Canis lupus familiaris: one gene and its partners. The protein of the gene in region 1 interacts with the protein of each later gene in a pairwise test. Links are inferred from orthologs where the notes say so. Each region holds a gene or a part of one and is shown in the gene's direction. Other genes may lie near its edges. The genes, in order: LZTS2, PQBP1 and TRIM29.

What was found.
Region 2: the proteins of LZTS2 (region 1) and PQBP1 interact in binary tests that used the Homo sapiens proteins (3 or more experiments, as listed by UniProt). The two-hybrid records come from large-scale screens. The link is inferred for Canis lupus familiaris from reciprocal best matches to the Homo sapiens genes LZTS2 and PQBP1.
Region 3: the proteins of LZTS2 (region 1) and TRIM29 interact in binary tests that used the Homo sapiens proteins (3 or more experiments, as listed by UniProt). The two-hybrid records come from large-scale screens. The link is inferred for Canis lupus familiaris from reciprocal best matches to the Homo sapiens genes LZTS2 and TRIM29.

What each region holds. Positions count from the first base shown.
Region 1 is NC_049249.1:13,876,478-13,880,122, forward strand, and holds part of LZTS2 (leucine zipper putative tumor suppressor 2), read left to right. Parts: intron 1-136; coding exon 137-799; intron 800-1,333; coding exon 1,334-1,591; intron 1,592-2,411; coding exon 2,412-3,095; 3' UTR 3,096-3,645. UniProt on the Homo sapiens protein: Negative regulator of katanin-mediated microtubule severing and release from the centrosome. Required for central spindle formation and the completion of cytokinesis.
Region 2 is NC_049260.1:42,260,110-42,263,854, forward strand, and holds the start of PQBP1 (polyglutamine-binding protein 1), read left to right. Parts: upstream 1-1,480; 5' UTR 1,481-1,640; intron 1,641-1,906; 5' UTR 1,907-1,940; exon of another isoform or gene 1,941-1,944; intron 1,945-2,057; 5' UTR 2,058-2,075; coding exon 2,076-2,142; intron 2,143-3,635; coding exon 3,636-3,745. Other genes in the region: TIMM17B (mitochondrial import inner membrane translocase subunit Tim17-B), read right to left, coding at 315-414, 1,284-1,309. UniProt on the Homo sapiens protein: Intrinsically disordered protein that acts as a scaffold, and which is involved in different processes, such as pre-mRNA splicing, transcription regulation, innate immunity and neuron development.
Region 3 is NC_049226.1:13,878,849-13,882,593, forward strand, and holds the start of TRIM29 (tripartite motif-containing protein 29), read left to right. Parts: upstream 1-1,109; 5' UTR 1,110-1,260; coding exon 1,261-2,064; intron 2,065-3,745.

The sequences.
Region 1 (3,645 bases):
GAGGCCCTCAGCCAGTGGTAGCAATTATTATTAATGTGTGGGGATTGGGGACCCCAGATGGGAGGGCAGGGAATATGATAAGGGCTTTGAAAGATTGGGCAGCTCATCCCCAGTGTCACATGGCACCTCATTTCAGAACATGGAGAAAATCCTGATCCGCCCAACAGCCTTCAAGCCAGTGCTACCCAAACCTCGAGGGGCACCATCCCTACCTAGCTTCCTGGGTCCTCGGGCCGCCGGACTGTCTGGGAGCCAGGGCAGCCTAACACAGCTGTTTGGGGGCCCTGCCTCGTCCTCTTCTTCCTCCTCCTCCTCGGCTGCTGACAAACCCCTGGCACTGAGTGGCTGGGCCAGCGGCTGCCCGTCGGGGACACTGTCTGACTCCGGCCGAAACTCACTGTCCAGCCTGCCCACCTACAGCACCGGGGGTGCAGAGCCAGCCACCCACTCCCCAGGCGGGCACCTGCCCTCCCATGGCCCTGGGCGGGGGGCACTGCCCGGGCCAGCCCGAGGGGCCCCTACTGGGCCCTCCCACTCGGACAGTGGCCGATCTTCCTCCAGCAAGAGCACAGGCTCCCTGGGAGGCCGTATGGCTGGGGGGCTCTTGGGCAGTGGTGCCCGGGCCTCCCCTGACAGCAGCTCCTGTGGGGAGCGCTCCCCACCCCCTCCTCCGCCCCCTCCCCCCCCTTCGGATGAGGCCCTGCTGCACTGTGTCCTGGAAGGAAAGCTCCACGACCGTGAGGCAGAGCTGCAGCAGCTGCGGGACAGTCTGGACGAGAGTGAGGTGACGGTGTGCCAGGTGTGGTCAGCAGCGATGACGGGGGTGGCGTGGCAGGACATCCACCGGAGCTGGGAGCCCAAGGAGCATCTCCCTGTGTGCTGTGGGGTGCGGGGGGGCAGGTGGGCAGGCCCAGACCCGGCTGTCTGGCTTCACCTGCAGGGCGGTGAGGGGTCTGAGCCAGCACCACCGTGTACCATCTTTCAGACTCGAGCAAGACACCTCACAGTACCGAGCCTCGCTTTGCTCAGCTGTAGATGGGGAGATTTCTGGCCTCCTAGGGTTCTTAGGATTAAGTAAGGTAAAAGCTTTGAAGTGCTTAGAATGACGCCTGGCACCTAGGAATTCCTACAGAAGTGCTTGCTCTTAAAGTTGTTTCTAGGATCCTAGCAGTGGTTGTGACTAGACCTACTGTAATTAGCCTCAGGGTTGAATGGAGTCTCCCGTCCCCGAACCCAGCCACAGGCCACCAGAGCAGTCGGTGACCAGGGAGCCATGGGCGGCGGGGAGGGGAGAGCCTCGCTCGAGGCACCCAGGTCCACCTTCTGTCCCCAGGCGTACGAGGAGCGGCAGCGGCCCTGGCCTCGGGAGCGTGAGGCACTGCGGGACGACGGCTTCACCCAGGCGCAGCGGGCACAGCGGGCCCAACAGCTGCTCCAGCTGCAGGTGTTCCAGCTGCAGCAGGAGAAGCGGCAGCTGCAGGACGACTTCGCGCAGCTGCTGCAGGAGCGGGAGCAGCTGGAGCGGCGCTGTGCCACCTTTGAGCGGGAGCAGCGGGAGCTTGGGCCTCGGCTCGAGGAGACCAAGTGGGAGGTGGGCCAGGCCAGGAGGGGCAGGGAGCAGGGCCTAATTGGGATAAGCCCCGGGCACAGGGGTCCAGCCTTCCTCTACCCTCAGCCTGCTACTCCCAGAGGCCCTCCTCATCCTCATCCACCTTGGTGAGATGAAGGTCCCCCTCAGACCTTCCTTTCTGGGCAAGGATCTCCTTGTGCCACCATTTGAGGTTTCCTCACTGGTCGAGTCAAGTGTTCATGGAGCCGGTGGCATTCCCATCCACTGCCAACCCCTCCACCCCCCCGACCAATAAGTCAGAATGTTGAGCCTGCTAGGCACCGGGCACTTTTTAGCTGTTACTTAGAGTGGATCTTTGATCCTCAGAACAGCCCTATGTGGTGGCTGTTGTTCACAGCCCCATTTCTTGAGATGAGGAACCGGGCCCAGAAAGGCTAGAGCCCACCATTATAGCTAGTCGGTGGCAGAGCTGAGATTTGAACCCAGGCTGTGTGGCTGCAATGTCTGCACTTTTAACCAAAACGCTGTGGTGTGTCTCAGGGGAAATGTGGGCACTGCCCTCAATTGCTCCCAGTCCTGCAAAACCTGCCACTGGCCTGTCCCCAGGGCTCTGCAGTACTCTGTGATGGTTTAAAATCACCTGCTTTGGGTCTGTATTTTGCTTCAGCCACTTATCAGCCATATAACCTTGGGCATGTCACTAGGCTTGTCTCAGTGTCTCCATCCACGTCATGGGTATCATGATCAAACAGCCTTTCCCCAAATACCCTTTGTGGTCTCAGGGCCTGACCCTCTAGGAGAACCCTTCTCACCATCCTTCCTGATCCCCTCCCATCCCTAGGTGTGCCAGAAGTCAGGTGAGATCTCCCTGCTGAAGCAGCAGCTGAAGGAATCCCAGGCAGAGCTGGTGCAGAAGGGCAGCGAGCTGGTGGCCCTGCGGGTGGCACTGCGAGAGGCCCGAGCTGCACTACGGGTCAGCGAGGGCCGGGCTCGGGGCCTGCAGGAGGCGGCCCGGGCTCGGGAGCTGGAGCTGGAGGCCTGTTCCCAGGAGCTGCAGCGGCACCGCCAGGAGGCCGAGCGGCTCCGAGAGAAAGCCGGCCAGCTGGACACCGAGGCGGCCGGGCTCCGGGAACCTCACGTGCCCCCTGCCACCGCTGATCCCTTCCTCCTGGCAGAGAGCGATGAGGCCAAGGTGCAGCGGGCTGCCGCTGGGGTCGGGGGCAGCCTGCGGGCCCAGGTGGAGCGGCTGCGGGCAGAGCTGCAGCGAGAGCGGCGGCGGGGTGAGGAGCAGCGGGACAGCTTCGAGGGGGAGCGGCTGGCCTGGCAGGCGGAGAAGGAGCAGGTGATCCGCTACCAGAAGCAGCTGCAGCACAACTACATCCAGATGTACCGGCGCAACCGGCAGCTGGAGCAGGAGCTACAGCAGCTCAGCCTGGAGCTGGAGGCCCGGGAGCTTGCTGACCTGGGCCTGGCCGAGCCTTCCCCCTGCATCTGCCTGGAGGAGATCACCGCCACGGAAATCTAGGGCCCTTGGCCTCCCAGATCTGAGGGAGGTCTACTGCAGGGGAGTGGGGGCAGGAGCCTCAGGTCTGCTGAGGTCCCCAAAGTCTGAGAGCCCCAGAGCTGCTTGTCCCCTGGGTTCCAGGCCTCTGGGCCTCTGCCAAGAACTTGGAGCTGCCCTGTGACCCGGATGGGCGAGATCAAACTCCTTGAAGGTCCCCGTTTCACTGTCACGCTGAGGCTCCTACTCACTTGACCCATTTCACCCCCACTTCTACTGCCATTGCCAGTCTGCCAACAGCATTACTCCCCGGATGCCAGGGGGCTGGGAAGAGGAGGGGGCTCCCTCATCTCCCTCATTTCCACACTCTTCCCTACCCCAAAGCCAGAGAGACCCAGACTGCGCCAGCTGCTTCAGATGTGCCTGCCCCCACCCTGCCCGTGTCGGGGGACAGGGCTGGGACTGGGGTCTGATCCCCAGGCTCCAGCTCTGCAGCCTCTCTCCTGGAGTGAGGGGGCTGTAGTCAGACCAAAGGAAGAACTCAAAATTGTCTTGTTTATTTGTGTTTGTGACC
Region 2 (3,745 bases), on another chromosome or scaffold:
TCCAGGTTTCTGACCCAGAATCTGTCTCTGGGGAAAATCTCTCTGGCTTTGCGCATACATTTAGAGTTTGGTAATGACCGTTTTCACGGCACAGCATTTCCACAGAGGAGCTCCAGCTGGGTGGTGCAGGGAGAGGGACAGAGAGCCGTGTTTGCAGTTCACCCCAAACCACAGATCCTGGAGTCAGGCCTGGCACATAGTAGGCTAGCCGCACCGTAATGAGCGAGTTATGGCAGCTCCACGCAGTGTTCATCGCAGTATCCCATGTGGGCATGGCAGGACCCCCACACTACCCAGGGAAGGCCACGACTCACGACAGGGGCATTGCGGAAGCCCTTGATGGCCTGGAAGACTCCACCGCCGATGACACCCATAGTGAAGGCTCCACCGCAATCGTCCACAATTCGCCATGGGCTGCAAGCCAAAAGGGGAGGGTGGGTTAAGTGAGCCCCTCTTCCCCCGCCATGGTGCACGGATTCTTTCCAATTGGGAGAGACCAAGTCACCCGAATGGGAAGCAGCACTTCAAATAATGAGATTATTTCTCCCCTCGTCTGAGCAAGAAATGGTGCAAAAGGGGAAAAGCATTAGTCTTTGCTCGCCCGCCCCTCCTTCGAGGCCAAGCAAGGAATTCGCCAACTGCTTTACCACTATCAAAGACTAAATGAACTGATGAGACACGCAGAGTCAGCACCTTTAAGTCAGCGCTGTGAAAGTGTTAATTTGCTAGTACTGTTATTAAAGCAGGACGGGGTCGCACCTCCGTCCCCGACGATGAGCACGTCCAACCAAATCCCGTCTTCCCTCTCTTTTAACCGATCACAACTGGGAAAAACCAAGCGCAGGCCGTGGGGAGGATCCAGTCCGTCCGCCACAGGTTCACCCAGCCCCGCCCCCATCCACTAAAGCGACCTGGGAAAAGCCACGCGTGGTAACCCTGGGGATTTCCGCTCGACCCCGCACCACCCCCCAAGCTGGAATGGATTCGACCAGCGTGTCTCTTTTCCTCAACAAAGAGGGACGGGGGAGGGGATACGGAGTCTGAGGAAACGTTGAGTGGTTGGTCCCTGCACCGCACCTTCTCCGGGCTCACAGCTGCGGCCTCTCTTAACGGAGCCCGAGTGAGAGGAACGAAGCGGAGGGGAGCGGAAGGAGACCACAAACGTCTAAGAGTCTCCCGAGTCTGGGACGTGGCGCGGTGTGGCCAGCGCCTCCCCCGCCCGCCTCCCACAGCTGGCGGTGGCGCCGCAGCAACAGTCCCGAGGCCTGTGCCCATCGCCGTACCAAGGCTCCCGAGCGTACTCCTCCATGGCGCCGGCGTCTGGCCGCGCAGTCCGGCTAAAGCCCGGCCAGGCCACGCCCCCACTGTAAACGCACACAGGCGCCGAGCTGTCCACCTATTCCAGGCCACCGATTGGGTCGTGTTGCTGCTCATCAGGGCAGGGACACGCTCTCATTGGCCACCGAGTTTGCGTCATCTCCACTGCAGCCTGTGCGTCGCCCAGATACCTCAAGCGTCGGGGAGAGAGGACCTCTTTTGGTGTTTTGGGAGAAGGCCGTCGTGTGGTTCTCGTGATCCTAGCGGGGACGAGAGAGAGGTGGCCGACCTGTCAGCTTTCCACTGCTCGCGTGATTGCATTGGTAATGTCAGGGTGGGCGCATTTTTTGCAGCCGGAAGAGGTGCTTCATTTTGCTCCCCCGTCCCAGCGCTTTGGTTCCTCCCACCCAGCAGTCTTTGGGGGACGTTGGGTGAGCTCATTCCGGGAGCGCGGGGGAACTGAGCTTGGCCCCTTCGGCGGTGGGCGGAGCCTGGGCCTGGGCGAGGAACAGGGTCTTGGAACACCCAGCCTCGAGGGGAGGGTTGGTGAGAGTTTGGGTGTCATCGCCACTTATATTCCATCTTTTAGCCTGTAGGTTCCGTCTACCCAGCCATTGGTGCAGGTGGGTAAGTGAGGGATATATGCCGGGAGGAGGCGCTCGGTTTTAGGTCGGGATTTGAATCCTCACTTGAGCTGGGTTGTTTTTTGTGAGCGTGTCTGTTCATCCGTCTGTCCCTAGGTCTGCCTGTTATCCGCTATGCCGCTGCCTGTTGCATTGCAGACCCGCTTGGCCAAGAGAGGCATCCTCAAACATCTGGAGCCCGGTGAGTGAGCTAAAAGCGGTTGGGCCTACAATGTGCCTGGCTTGACAGGCACTTCGTTGTTGATACCGCCACTCGATACCTAGCGTGGGCCTACCGCGCATCAGTCAGTGGCGTGGCGTGTATTGTTAACGGTGTGGATTTCTGATATCCATTCCTACCGCGGGCTGGGGTGGGGGTGGGGAATACATGTTTCATCCTTAATATTGACAGTTAATGCCTTTTTGGGGTCTGTTGTATGCCACGCGCAATCCATCAGACGATCCGTGGAAGTTATTATAAAGTAGCTGACAGTAAGGAGAGCTGACATTTTCCCTAGACGGTAGGGGGGATGCGGATACTGGGTTCTTTACGCTACTGATCACATTATTTTAGACGTGTTGTGAGGCCAGGCACTATGTTGGTGATCTATACCTTATTGATCACCATATCAATTGCTGACATGTATTTTGGGTCTAGGTGCTTGGCATACACATAGTGGTAGAAAATGATGGTAGGATCTATCATTTCTACCTGCTGTGCTGTTCCTGCTAATATTTACACCTTATTATCGATCATGGTAAAAACTGGCATCTGTTTTGGGCTGCAGTGTGCTAGGCACTGGATTACATCTTATTTTCACCTTATTAATAAATGACATCTGTTACAAGCTACTCTGTGCCAGGCATATAGATCTTGTGGTTAATAATACTGGTAACAGTCGTTGCTAATTTTAAGCCTGTTGAGTACCAGGCCCTGTGCTGATGGTATATATCTCTTACTAACAATTCTGATGATTATAGCTAATACTCACTTTGGGCCTATTGTGTGACAGGCACTATGCTGTTGCTGACATATACATTTCATTGTCAGTTATGTCCACAGCCAAAATCTGTCATAGGTCTACTGAGGGTCATGTACCGAGCTGACAACATACATCTCTTTTATTCTACTGATAGTAACTGACAGCTGTTGTAGGCCTGCTGTATGTCAGGCCTCGGAACTGAATGGATGCGGAGCAGTGTTTGGATATATCCTTTCCCATCCAGACTTGCTACTCAATATACAGAATCAGAAACCCCATATTTACCAAGCTTGGGAGCTGAATAGATTTGGGCATTTTGTTTTTCAGATAAACCGCTTACTGTTCAAACTCATTTTATCCAAATAGATTGGGATAGCGTGGTGTCACATGCTTCCTGAACTCAGGAACTGGAGGATACATTTGTTTTGATGAATCCTTGTCTAAAATCTGAAACCAGATAGGTTTCGGTAACAGGATATCAAATCTCAAATCTTATCTGAACCCAGAAACAGAACAGATTTAGGTAAGTTTTTTGGCAAATCCCCTGATCTTCAGACACTTGGATTTGGAATGTGATATTTGCCATAGAAGGTGAGACCTGGCACACGCACACACATGGTCCATGTGAGTCTGAGCGTGTCTCCAGGCTCTGACTGCAGGATAAGAATTCCTCTGGTCCTTACTGCTTTCCTCCACCCTGCTATCCTGCCAGAACCAGAGGAAGAGATTATTGCTGAGGACTACGATGATGACCCTGTGGACTATGAGGCCACCCGGTTGGAGGGCCTGCCACCAAGCTGGTACAAAGTGTTTGACCCATCC
Region 3 (3,745 bases), on another chromosome or scaffold:
CTTAACTGGAGACTGAATTGCTGGTTCCCAACCGGAGGTGGTGGTGGTGGGCAGGAATAGGAGATGGGGAGTAAGGAGGGCACTTGTGATGAGCACCAGGGGTTGTATGGAAGCACTGAATCCCTAAATTCTACACCTGAAACTAATATAACTGTATGTTAACTTTTAATTTAATTTTAATTAAAATAAAAAACTTGGTGAAAAAATAACTATTAAAAAAATATGAAAAAGAAGCTCCAATTAAAAAAAAAAAGGCCCAAGGGCCACATGCCATCTCGCTAGGACTGCTGGGACAGGCACGACTTCTAGAAGGCATCTTCCACGGAGATATTCGGGTGGCTCTGTGATATCCAAGCCTAAGAAGGAACTTTGGCAGCTCAGAGGTCTCGGGTTCAAATCTCAGAATCTACTACTTGACTGAAGCCAGTGAGGCAGCTTGTTAGAGCTTCGGTTTTCTCATTTGTTAAATAGGATAACCGAACAGGTTGTGGTGGGGATGAAATGAGCCCCCTGTAGGTGACGTGTGTAGGACAATGCCTGGAAGTCGGCAAGTGGGGTTCAGTAATCAGTAGCGATTTCACTGCACGTCCTGCAACCGAAATCAAACCGAACCCACCTTTCTCTGTAAGGGAACCCCACTTGTCCCAGGGTTGGAAATCTCTCCTCTGAAATCCGGGCCTGCAAATTATAAGGCTATTCGGCTTGTGTGACCCAATTAATAGCCTTCTGTCCCGTGGGCCTCTGCAGACACCTCACCTTTTGCCCCAGGGGCCCTTTGGCTCAGCGAAGCCTGCCCACCCATGAGGACAGAGGCTCCCCTACTTCCTCAGGAGAGGAAAGTGCGCCAGGAGGAAGCAGGCCGACTGGTTGCTGAGCTGTGGAAAATAATTAAACCAGGAGAGGGGAAAAAAAAAAAACCCAGGTCCTTTAGAAATCAGGTTGGGTATGAATGCGTAGGGCGTGGCCCTCCCGTATAATTAGCCGCGCTGCTGGCTCTGGGAGCCGCCTGCCCTCCCCGGCCGGCCCGTTGTGTCAGGCTTGGGCCTGCCCTCCCCTCCTCTCCTCCTCCTCCACCCCCTCCTCCACCCCCTCCTCCGCCTCCTCCTCCTTGGCCTCCTCCTCCTCCTCCTCCTCCCTGTTCCCTATAGGTGTGTCTCCGGGCTCTGGCGACCTGACCCACTCCCCGCGGAGACGCCAGCCCGAGAGGTCACCCTCCTGCAGCCCCAGCAAGTCCCCAGCGCGCCAGCCGAGTGACGGGCCATGGAAGCCGCAGATGCCTCCAGAAGCAACGGGGCCAGCCGGGAAGCCAGGGATGCGCGCAGCCCGCCGGGCCCCAACGGGCCCCTGGAGAACGGGGCCAAGGCCGAAGGCCAAGATGCCAAGACCAGCAACGGGCACTGCGGGGAGGCGGCCGAGGGCAAGAGCCCGGGCGGCGCCCCGAAGCCAGGGGAGGGCAAGAGCTCCCTGTTCTCGGGGAACGAGTGGCGGCGCCCCATCATCCAGTTCGTCGAGTCCGTGGACGACAAGGCCTCCAGCTACTTCAGCATGGACTCGGGGGACGGCAAGAGGTCCCCGTACGCCGGGCTCCAGCTGGGGGCCGCCAGGAAGCCGCCCGTCTCCTTCGCCGAGAAGGGGGAGCTGCGCAAGTCCATCTTCTCGGAGCCCCGAAAGGCCGCCGTGTCCATAGTGGAGCCCGGGGAGGCCCGGAGGAACAGCTACCCCCGGGCCGACGGCGGCCTCCTCCTGCGCCCCAAGTCGGGCTCCGAGGAGGTGCTGTGTGACTCGTGCATCGGCACCAAGCAGAAGGCCGTCAAGTCCTGCCTGGTGTGCCAGGCCTCCTTCTGCGAGCTGCACCTCAAGCCCCACCTGGAGGGCGCCGCCTTCCGCGACCACCAGCTGCTCGAGCCCATCCGAGACTTCGAGGCCCGCAAGTGCCCCCTGCACGGCAAGACCATGGAGCTCTTCTGCCAGACGGACCAGACCTGCATCTGCTACCTCTGCATGTTCCAGGAGCACAAGAATCACAGCACGGTGACGGTGGAAGAGGCCAAGGCCGAGAAGGAGGTAATTCGAGGGGGCATCTTCTCCACTGGGGGCTCCCGAGGGGGCGGGCCTCGCGTCTCCACTGTCCTGGGCTCTTTCAGAAGACACTTCTCGCCCCTCTGCACCCGCAGGCTGGAGTGGGGAGGGGGGGCTGGTCAGAGGCGGTTCCCTAATCCTCTAAGGCCTCAGGACACAGGGGCATTGCCTAGATGAGCAAACGGAGGCCTGGAGATGCCTGGGCGCTTGACCAGGGTCCTAGGAAATATTCAGGTCTGAGCCGAGAATCCATCTGGGCTCAGTGCTGAGCTCTGTGTCTGGCTGGAGGGTTTCTCCTCCTCCTCCTCCTTCTTCTTTTTAATTCTAGGGAGACTGAATTCTTACCACCTGAGCCGGACTGCCTGCTGGGGCAGGGATCATGCATGAGGAGGAGGGAATTTGGGGGCCACTTAAATGCTCTTTTTTTTTTTTTTTCCTGGCTTTACAGTCTGCATTTGCAGTACAGTGGCTGCTTGTTGCTTACTTGATCCCCTGGCCAGTCCCTTGACTTCCCCAATGGCCTCCTTCGTCCCTTTCTTTCATTGGGCTGTGTGTGGTCACATGTGTGTACATCTGTGCCTGTATGTGGACACACTTGGGGAGGGTTGCTGTCTGTGGGTGGGTGGGCTGTCCATATACGTGTATGTGCTTCATATACATGTGGGTGTTTGGCGCATACATTTGTACGCGCGATATGCAAGTGTGTTTGCATGAGTACTGCCTGTGTGATCCTGCCTTGTACCTCCGTGGGGAGGAGCAGAGGCGTGTGGAGACTTGTGAAAGTGTTGCACACGGAGAAGGTGTTCTGGGCCAAAGGCTCAGCTGTGGTTGCTGCCCCTTGCTGCACAGATGCTGGGCCCAATGTCCCACGACAGCCACGCAGCTGGCAGTCATGGGCACCCCCACCCCTCTGCCGGGGCGAACCTCCTGGTGCTCACTGTGGGACACTTGGCCTTCCTCAACAGCTTCTCAACCCATCTGAATAGGGCAGCCCAGGACCCCTCTGCGCCCAGTCTTCCTGATGGAGAGTTGGCTGATTACTCTCTTATGGTGCCCCTCACCCACACTCTGGGCAGAAGGAGATGGGTTACAAGTGGGATAAGACCCAAAGATCCTTTTTGGGAGTCTTGTTTAGCCCAGGAAGGTGTTCCCACTTCCTGGATGACCCCCAACCCCAGCCCGGCTTCTAGCCTTAGGCTGGGACACAGTGACAGGGCAGGGCCGTGGAACCCATCCTTCCGGAGCTTACTGGGGAAACCAAAACAGAACCAAGGGGCAATCATCTTCACTGGGTGCAACCAAAACAGTGCAGAGCCTCAGGCTGGTGTTCTGGGTCTCCCACCCAACCGAGTTCCAGCATTGGTTTTTACCTCTAGGTAGCTGTCGGACCACGGACAAGGCCCTTCCGTTCTCTCGGTCCTGGTTCCCTATGGTGTGGGACTAGATTGGTGGTCTTCAAACTCCGCCATGGAGTCCCTGGATTCTTGGAAATGTCAGGGATGAGGAGGGGGCAAATTGGTGCCAAGAAGGCAGTGGCTTCAGGTGCTCACTTCTACCACAAGCAATATACACTCTTGCATATCTGTATTTTTTTTTTAAGATTTTATTTATTTATTCATGAGAGACAGAGACAGAGGCAGAGACACAGGCAGAGGGAGAAGCAGGC